Caenorhabditis elegans: one gene and its partner. The protein of the gene in region 2 purifies or fractionates together with the protein of the main gene of each other region. This does not show direct contact. Each region holds a gene or a part of one and is shown on either strand. Other genes may lie near its edges.

Region 1 (5,622 bases), on a different chromosome or scaffold from region 2:
CGAAAAGGTATGCGCCTTTAAAGAGTACTGTAGTTTCAAATTTTCATCAATTTTTCGGGGTTTTCGAATTTTTTTTTTTTAATTTCGAAAATGGATGAAATACTGCGATTTTTGAGCAATTTTTAACCCAAAAAGTGCAAAGTTGTGCATTTTTCAGCTCATTTTAAAGTTTTTTTAAATTTATTTTAATTCAAAAAAAAATTGTAGAAAAAACTTCAAAATTAGCTGAATTTTATTGCAAATTTTATCGATTTTTTTTATTTTTCAGAAATTTTTTTAAATCGAAAAACTGTGAAAAATTCGAAACTACAGTAGTCTTTAAAGGCGCATACCTTTTCGCATTTAACAAAAATTCCCGTCGCGTCGAGACCCAGAATGTCGTTTTTTTCGAAATATTTAGGTTCCTAAACCGGATTTTTTGGTTTTTTCTCAAAATTAAAATTTTTCAAAAAATAAAATGAGACATGCGTTTATTCTTCTCTGGAATTTTTGATTTTAAGATTTTTTGTTACTAAAAAAGAGGGGGGGGGGGGTCACAAAAAACAAAAAAAAACTGTATAAATTATCATTTTCTATAATAAAGAGCTGGGGGTGCGGGGTGATATGAGATTTTTTTTGCATTTCATTTCAGAAGCTATATAATAAATAGTGAGCAACTTTTGTTGTTGATTTCACACTGGTGTCGATTTTAAGGACAAAAAAGAGCTATGTATTCTAGTGAGTGGGAGCTGGTGTGTGTGGATAAAGTGAGTGAAAAAATGGCGCCGGGACGAAAAAAATAAGAAAAAAAAAATAGTTTTTAAAAGGGGAGCAGTGTGAAAAAATGGGGACTTTTGCTTTAAAATAATCGAAAAATAGGCAAAAAATTTTTTAAAAAAAGTGAAAAATACGTCAACCAATCAGCGATTCGCTCCGCCCATCATTCAACCAATCAGAACGCGTGGGCGGAGTTCGAAGACGCTGATTGGTCGGGGAGTTCACATTTTGGCGGGAATTATAAATTTTTCGCATTTTTTCAAAATTTCGGAATATTTGCTTTGAAAATTTTCAAAAAATCACCAAAAAAAACGAGATTTTCTGCGACCAATCAGCGATTCGCTCCGCCCATCATTCAACCAATCAGAACAGGTGGGCGGAGTTCGAAGGCGGGAATTCAAAAATTACGAGTTTAAAGTTATATTTTTCGCCATTTTTTTTTAATTTCCGAATGTTTTGCTATAAAAAAATTCAAAAAAAACAGCGACCAATCAGCGCTTCGCTACGCCCAGTTTTGGACCAATGATTGGTCCGAAAGTGGGTGGAGCGAATCGCTGATTGGTCGAAAGTCTCATTTTGGCGGGAAATTCAAAAAAAGCGGTTTTTAAGTAGAGTTTTTGATTTTTCGTGATTTTTCTTTTTTTTTCAAATTTAACATAATTTTAGAAATTTTTAAGCAAAATTCCCAAAATTCACACTACTCAAATAATCACACAGTTCATCATGGGGCAGGTGGATGGGTGGGAGGAAGCGAGAGAGAGAGAGAGAGAGAGAGAGAGAATTAGAGAAATAAGAGCGATGAAAAAAATCGGAAAAAGACTAGAATTTGAGCCCAAACACGGCCCGGTGGTCCATTTATCCATTCATTCCACGAACTTGTCCACTCTTCCTTTGCTCTTCGAGCTCTTTCTGGGCTTTTGCCTCGATTTCTCGAATATCGACCATTGTAAGGCCGTGCCATTTATCGATCCAGCAGAATACTTCCCGATGGAATTTCGAGAACAGGCGAGGGTATTGCTGAAAAATTTGGGATTTTTTTGGAGAAAAAATGGAAAAAAGCTGAATTTTCTAGAAAAAAAAACCTATTTTTCTGGGAAAGTAATGGAAAAATCCGAGATTTTTTGGCGAAAAAACCGTTTTTTTAAAGGAAAATAATGGAAAAATTATTTTTTTTTTTGGAAAAATCTGAAATAAATCTGATTTTTGAACATTTTCACGTGAATCTCAACAAAAATGTCCATTTTTCAGGTAGATTACTGGGTTAACAAAAAAAAACATTTTCGAAAATTTTACTTTATAGGATTTTATACAAAATTGCGCAGTTTTCCAGCTTTTTTTAAAATTAAAATTCAATTTTTTCGCACTTTTTGAAATTTTTATTAAATTAAGCAATGTTTTGGTTTATTTTTTTTATTTTTCATTTATAAAAATTTTCAGCGAAAAAGATGGAAAAAAATTTTTACGAAAATTGTGCATTTTTCAGCTCGATTTCTACATTTTTCGTATGCAATTTTTCGAAAACTTCTTTTTTTTTGCGGTTTTTTAAAGAAAATTTCTCCAATTTCAAGCTAATTTTTGAGATTTTTTAAATAAATTTATTAATTTATCGGGTAAAAATCCACTTTTTTGAAAATTTCCACGAGCATTTATGCGAAATTTTTCCATTTTTTCAGCTCGGTTTTCAGTTTTTTTCCGGAATTGTTCGAAATTTTGCTCGAAAATTGAAGAATGGCTGTGTAAAACCTCTTCCACTTAAATTAGAGGTTTTCTAGGTTTTCCTTTTGACTTTTTGGCAATTTTCGCGGTTTTTTCACATTCAAATTGGCAGTTTGTTAGGTTTTTAGGTGAAAACTTTATTTATCAGATTTTATTTATTTAATTTTATTTACATTTATCAGATTTTAAGTGAAAATTGTTGATTTTCACCTAAGAACCCTATAAATTGTCAATTTGAGTATGAAAAAACCACGAAAATCGAAAATTTCAGTTTTAAACTTTGAAATTCTTCTCCTCGGGGAGTACACGATCTGCGTAAATCGACATAGGGTTATTCTACAAATTTCAAACAAAAAAAAGCTCGTTTTTTGAGCATTTTCGCCCATTTTGTCGATCCACGAAATCCTCTCGTAATCTCACCGTATGCGCGTAGTTTTCGACAATTTTCTGGAATCCAAACCACTTGAAATAGACTGTAACAAGCTTGTAGGCACACATTACAGGCTGTACACTATCCTTCCAATTTCCAGATAAAGGACCGCTGAAATTTCAGATTTTTTTAATTTAAAAACTGAAAAATCTCAAGGTTTTTCCCGTACCGCCCGGTTTTTGTGCTCTGAAATTTGGATGGAGTGGAGTCTGGATGCAAATCTCCGGAATTCAAATACTCGTGATCATTTGCAATATTAATATTGACAACTTCTCGTTTCGCCAGCTCATCGCCCTTCAAACCGTGCGCATTTTCGGTCGTTCCGTTGTCCGGCAAGTGGATTGTCTCAATTTTCACATAGAAATTCTCTTTCATATAGTCTGGATTCGTGACAACCGTCTTACAGTACGGATAGGCATTCCATGCTTCTTCGTGGATAGCCAGAGAACCTTTTGGCGCGATTTTTCGCAAAATTGCCGGGACTTTCCTGAAAAAATTGATTTTTTTTCCAATTTTTTTCGCAGAATTAAAGAAGAAAATCCTACGATTGAAGATGATAAATCTTATGAGTATATTGTCCTTTCGTGAATTGTCCATTGAGCAGTGGAACATTGTCAAATGGCTCATTTTTGAGCACTTCCACACCTTCACCGCCACCCGTTTCGGCTTTTGAGGCCTCGGCCACAGACCAGAGCTGGCCTACTTGGTACTCTTCGACGGACATTGGAAGCACAACTCGGCTGAAAAAAAATTTTTTTTTTTGAAAATCTGGAAAAAATCCAATTTTTTTGGGAAAATCTGGAAAAATACGATTTTTTTTTTGAAAAAATCTGGAAAAAATCCGATTGTTTTGGGAAAAGAATGGAAAAAATCTGGAACAAATCCGATTTTAATGGAAAAATCTGGAACAAATCCGATTTTAATGGAAAAATCTGGAACAAATCCGATTTTAATGGAAAAATCTGGAAAAATACGATTTTTTTGAAAAAATCTGGAAAAAATCCGATTCTTCCGGGAAAAATCTTGAAAAAATCCGATTTTTTTGGGAAAAGAATGGAGAAATCCGATTTTTTTTTGTTGGAAAATCTGGAAAAAAACCGATTTTTTCCAGGAAAAATCAAAATTTTCGTTAAAAATAAAAAAATCACTTACTACTCCTTGATAATCATTCTTGCGAGTGTCGAATGAGGAGGAAACCACCTGAAAACTAAATTTTTTATGCTAGTTGCCATGGAAACAGCTTTACGGAAGATTAATGGGTGGAGAGCATGCGAAAATCGATTTTATTTTTGCATTTTGGAAGGTATTCGAGAAAAAGAAGAAAATTATTGCGAAATTTCGTAATTTGAAGGAAATTCACAAAGATTTTAACGATTTTTAGCGGGAAATTGAAAATTTTTGGATTTAAAAATAAAAAATTGATCGAAAAGTTAAAGGCGCACGGAGTTCCAATTGCCGATGGGTCTCGCAGCGAACTACAAAAGTTTGATAAATTTTTGAATTTTTTAAAGTTTTTTAGTAAAATTAAGTTGATTTTACCAATATTTAATATATTTTCTAACGTTTTTAAATAGAAAATGACAATATTAAATCGGAATTGGAAATTTTAACGGCGTCTCTCATGAAAAATACAAAATTCTCCCAAACAATGCGAAATCGTAGAATTATTAGTCATCATGAATAGAGAGAGAGAGAGAGGTGTTGCGAAATTTTTCTCATTTTGAAATTTCTTGAGGGAAAAATGGAAAAATCACTCAATTTTCCGTGGGAAAAGCGAAAAAAACGAATTTGAGAAGGGCAGTAATCGAAGGCGCATATAGTTTGAAGAGACTCGGGTCTCGCAGCGATCTACAGAAATTGTAATTAATTTTCAAGTTTTTAAACTTTTAAACAAATTTAAGCTATTTCTAGGTGGTTTTAAATGAAATTCTAACGATTTAATATTGAAAACTTGATTTCGAAGTGAAAATTAAGATTATTTTTAATTTCCGATTGGAATTCCGAGAGAAAAGCGAGCATAATACACGAAAAATCTTGAAATGGTTTTTAAAGGTGCATGGTCTTTGAATTGGCTCGGGTCTCGCGACGATCTACAAAAGTGTGATGAATATTTAATTTTATTGAATTTAAAATGAGTTTTCAGAAGGTTTTAACGATTTTCCGACCAATTTTCAGTGCAAAAACTGCAAAAAATGACGTGTTAAGGTCCATACACCCGCAAAAAACATAAAAACAAAGCGGAAAAAAGAAAAAAAAAAGACAGACGAAATAGATGAAGCAATAAGCGCAGCAACGAGGAGAAAATCGAATGCTTTCTGTGTTTCTGTCTCACTTGCCGACTCACTAGGCACGCGAAATGCGCAAGCATTCCTCTCGGTGACTTCGTATACTCTCTTCTCGATTAACAGCAGGGTTCGAGCCTTTCTTGGAAGAAAAAGAGGAAGAAATATTCGTTTTTTTTTCCTTTCTTTTAACGTTTTTGGAAGAAGGAAGACGGAAAAAAGATGGAAAATAGTATTAAAAATGGCCTTCCCCAAAAAAAAGAGGGCGGCGCGGCGAAAAATCGATAACACCCGGGACGGGGGGAAAACGGAGGAGAAAAAAGAGCTGGAGCAGAAACTAAATATGTCATGTTTGTGGAGTAGCGTGTGCGCTGTCAAGTTGAGAGAGAGAGGCTATATAAAGTAAAAAGTAACGACTATGGAGAGGAGCGAAATGGG
Region 2 (3,270 bases):
AAATTCTTAAAATTCGACTACTGTTTCAATCTACTTATATTATTGGAAAGAACGTAGCGCGAGTGATAGTTTCGCTTTTAAATTAAGAAACTCAAATTATTCCAATTTCTGAGCTTTAAAAGTTTCCAACGCACAATTTTAAAATGCACTACAAAAAGAAAACTTACGGTATACTCGGAAGCGTTCAGATTAGAAAATCCACCAAGAACTTGACAATTCATTCCATCAAGAACAGCAAAAAGAAGTGCGATAGAAAGAATAAAACGCATTTTTGTCTCAAAGTATATCAACATTCGTTTGCTTTTATAGGAGTGAGAGGGAGTGCGTGATGAACAGGACACAGCAAAAGATCAAGGGTTTGATTCAAAAAAAAATCGATCATCGCAACAGGTATGACTCATTGTCTTCCCATGGACAATTGATTTTCAACGGAATATAATGATATAATTTCAAAAAATATTTTCTTCAGATGTATATTAGGGTTTTAGCTGGAAAGAAAAGTACGTAACGCAGCAACTATTTTCAAAAACCAAAGTTCTTTATTAGCAATTTTTTAAAATAGTACAGAAAGCAAGAATACATTCACCAGATTTAATTTAAATTTTTTCATCAGGTTTCACACCTCTGATTTTTTCAGCCTTAGTTTGCTTGAAGTTTTCCCATGGTTTCTCCCAAATGGACACTTTGTAAAGTTCACGCTTGCCACCAGACTTCAATGGACAATTTGCAGCAGTGACTTGAGAAGCTTGAACTGATCCTTGTCTCGGACAAGTTGACTCTCCAACAAGAACTTCCAAAACTGTATTGGTTCCGGCAACAACTTGAACTTGAGCTTTAACAACCTAAATAAGAGTGTTATAAAAGCGCAAAGTATTATTTTTTGAACAGCATTTTTTGCCTCTGAGGAGTAAACCTACCTTAATTGGAACCATGTAGTTTTGTCCATTATTCTTACTGTTTATTTCCGGCACCGAATTCCAAGCTGCTCCCTGAAAACTCATAACTAAAAGTGCATATATATTTTAAATTGAAAATTACGGTAACCAAAATCTTTTTTCGAAATATGAATTTTTTCACTGTTTCACAGTTTACATTTGTGCACAAAATTTTTAAATGATACTGTTCAACCAGTAGACATTTATTAAAATTTTGCGCGAAGTGCCAATTAGTTTTGAATAGCAGTTTTGAAATTAAAACTCTTAATTTTAATTTGTTTTATAAGCATTTTGAGTCGTAATTGAATTTTTCAAAGCGCTAAATTTTTATTCCAGTTTTTTTTGTTTAAAAAAATGAATTTATCGAATATTGAAAGAAATTAAAATTATAGTAAACCGGACTAAGTATCCTAAGAGTAAGTATCAACTATAGTTTTAAAAAATATAAGAAATCTTCACAAAATGAGCATTTTCTCAACAAAAAGCCTAAGTAAAACTTACAGTATACTCAGAGGCATTCACATCAGACAATCCACCAGCAATTTGGCAATTTATTCCGTCAAGAACAGCGAAAACAAGTGCGATAAGAAGAATGAAACGCATTTTTATTTTTGTCACAAAATATGTCAACATTCGTTTGCTTTTATAAGAGTCAGTTGGTGAGTGATAAGAGCGAGACAGCTAAAGATCAACAATTTGATTGAAAAAAGAGAAAGAATCGATCATTGCAACAGCTATGACTCATTATCTTCCTTTGGAAAGTTTGTTTACAACTGAATATGATGATATCATTTCATAAATTATTTTCGACTTTTGCATGTTCTGTTTTTCTGGAAAAAAGTGCCGCTTCAGGAATTCTTGCAGAGTTTTTTTGCACCTGAAAGCAATGATAGAAATTCCAGAGCTTCTGAAAATGAAGTAACAAGGCATGAGTTCAAAACTACGTTTTAGTTCAAAAAATATTTACAAAATTTTGTATAAATAATTTACTGTTTCACATTCAAGTTAAGTGAACTTGTTTTAAATGAAGGGCTGTTCCAATCTTTCAGAACTGAAGAACTTTATTTTTAGAAAAGCGAATTTTACCTTCACATGATTTTATAAAGCCACACGATGTTTTCCGTGTGGATCTTGCCACGATCTTAGTCAACACATAATAATCATTTACTATATATAAAGCGCGTGTCCTTCTGTCCCTATGTAGTTTGATCTCTGATCAGAGCGACGAAATTTTGGGAAACCTTATGCTAAATGCGCAGCAGACATCGATCGAGGTCCGCGATAGACACCGTATATCTAATGTGTTTTCTCAAAAAAGTCGGGGGCCGCGCCGTAGGTGCGGTCCACGGCTGGTAATTAATAATTTATTACGCTCTCTGGGAGACGTGAAAGAATACAATAGTTATCAAGGTTTGCGTGATTGGGGCAGCCGGGCAGTCGTTTCCATTCCATTAAAATGTTGTCTGTCGGCCACCCGGGTCAAAAACATCCCGCATTGGTTAATTAGCTACGGAAGTTTAATATCATGAAGTTTCATATCGTCAAAGAAAGACAGAATTCACAGTCATTGTTAAAACACCATAGTTTCCTCAAAGCGATCGTACCGTATTACGGGAACAAGAAATCATGAGAACGCGTACTTGGTGCTTTTATTTGACCCGGGATATCTCTTAGCGAAAACTACAGTAAGAACTCAAATAACAATAAATATTTAAGCTCTTACTGTAGTTTTCGCTAAGAGATATCGCGCGTCAAATAAAATGCACCAAGTACGCATTATCATGCTTTATTGTTCCCGTAATATACATATCTTAATCACTTACAGTACAATCGCGGCGAGATTTAAAAGTAAAGACTAAAATCAAAAGTTCTACCGAAACTGTATCAAAATAACAGCATGTGATCGGAAAAAAGTATTGTTTTAATAAAACATGCGCTTTGTATGTGACTTTTTTCAATTAGCAAGAAAAGATAATGAAATAAAAATCAACAATACCTTACGAATTAGGCTGCATTTTGGGTCGGAGAGATTTTGTGTAAATTTACGGCGCGTTGCGTGTGGCTTCGCGGCTCGTTTTTAGTTACAACTAGTTGTAAAACTGATGTATTTGTCCGTGTGGAGTACACACACAACTCATCTCCACGCGTAGAAAAATCGGATGTTCAAACGAAAGTTCGTTTGAACATCCGATTTTTCACAATAATTACCGAAAACTACGGTCGACAATGAGAAAATTCAAAATGTACGCAAACACCGCCACGTTAAAATGCACAAAATTTTCAAATTGAAAAATATTTTAAATTTTACTTCTCGATTTTCAACGATTTCTCTTCG

Evidence for each region. Proteins that work in one complex are often made in the same cells at the same time.
Region 1: the proteins of cpi-1 (region 2) and Y54F10AR.1 fractionate together in Caenorhabditis elegans (co-fractionation; one large-scale study listed by BioGRID). This does not show direct contact.

Annotation. Positions count from the first base shown.
Region 1 is NC_003281.10:2,571,615-2,577,236, forward strand, and holds Y54F10AR.1 (Phosphatidylinositol transfer protein N-terminal domain-containing protein), read right to left. Parts: upstream 4,072-5,622; coding exon 4,055-4,071; intron 3,643-4,054; coding exon 3,448-3,642; intron 3,390-3,447; coding exon 3,072-3,389; intron 3,014-3,071; coding exon 2,893-3,013; intron 1,774-2,892; coding exon 1,612-1,773; 3' UTR 544-1,611; downstream 1-543.
Region 2 is NC_003282.8:6,092,080-6,095,349, forward strand, and holds cpi-1 (Cystatin cpi-1), read right to left. Parts: upstream 1,554-3,270; 5' UTR 1,539-1,553; coding exon 1,437-1,538; intron 1,145-1,436; exon of another isoform or gene 1,123-1,144; intron 990-1,122; coding exon 918-989; intron 843-917; coding exon 597-842; 3' UTR 524-596; downstream 1-523. Other genes in the region: K08B4.7 (Cystatin), read right to left, coding at 168-269. UniProt on the Caenorhabditis elegans protein: Cysteine protease inhibitor which inhibits members of the peptidase C1 family. Does not inhibit asparaginyl endopeptidase. May play a protective role against exogenous cysteine proteases derived from soil bacteria or fungi, or rotting fruits and vegetation.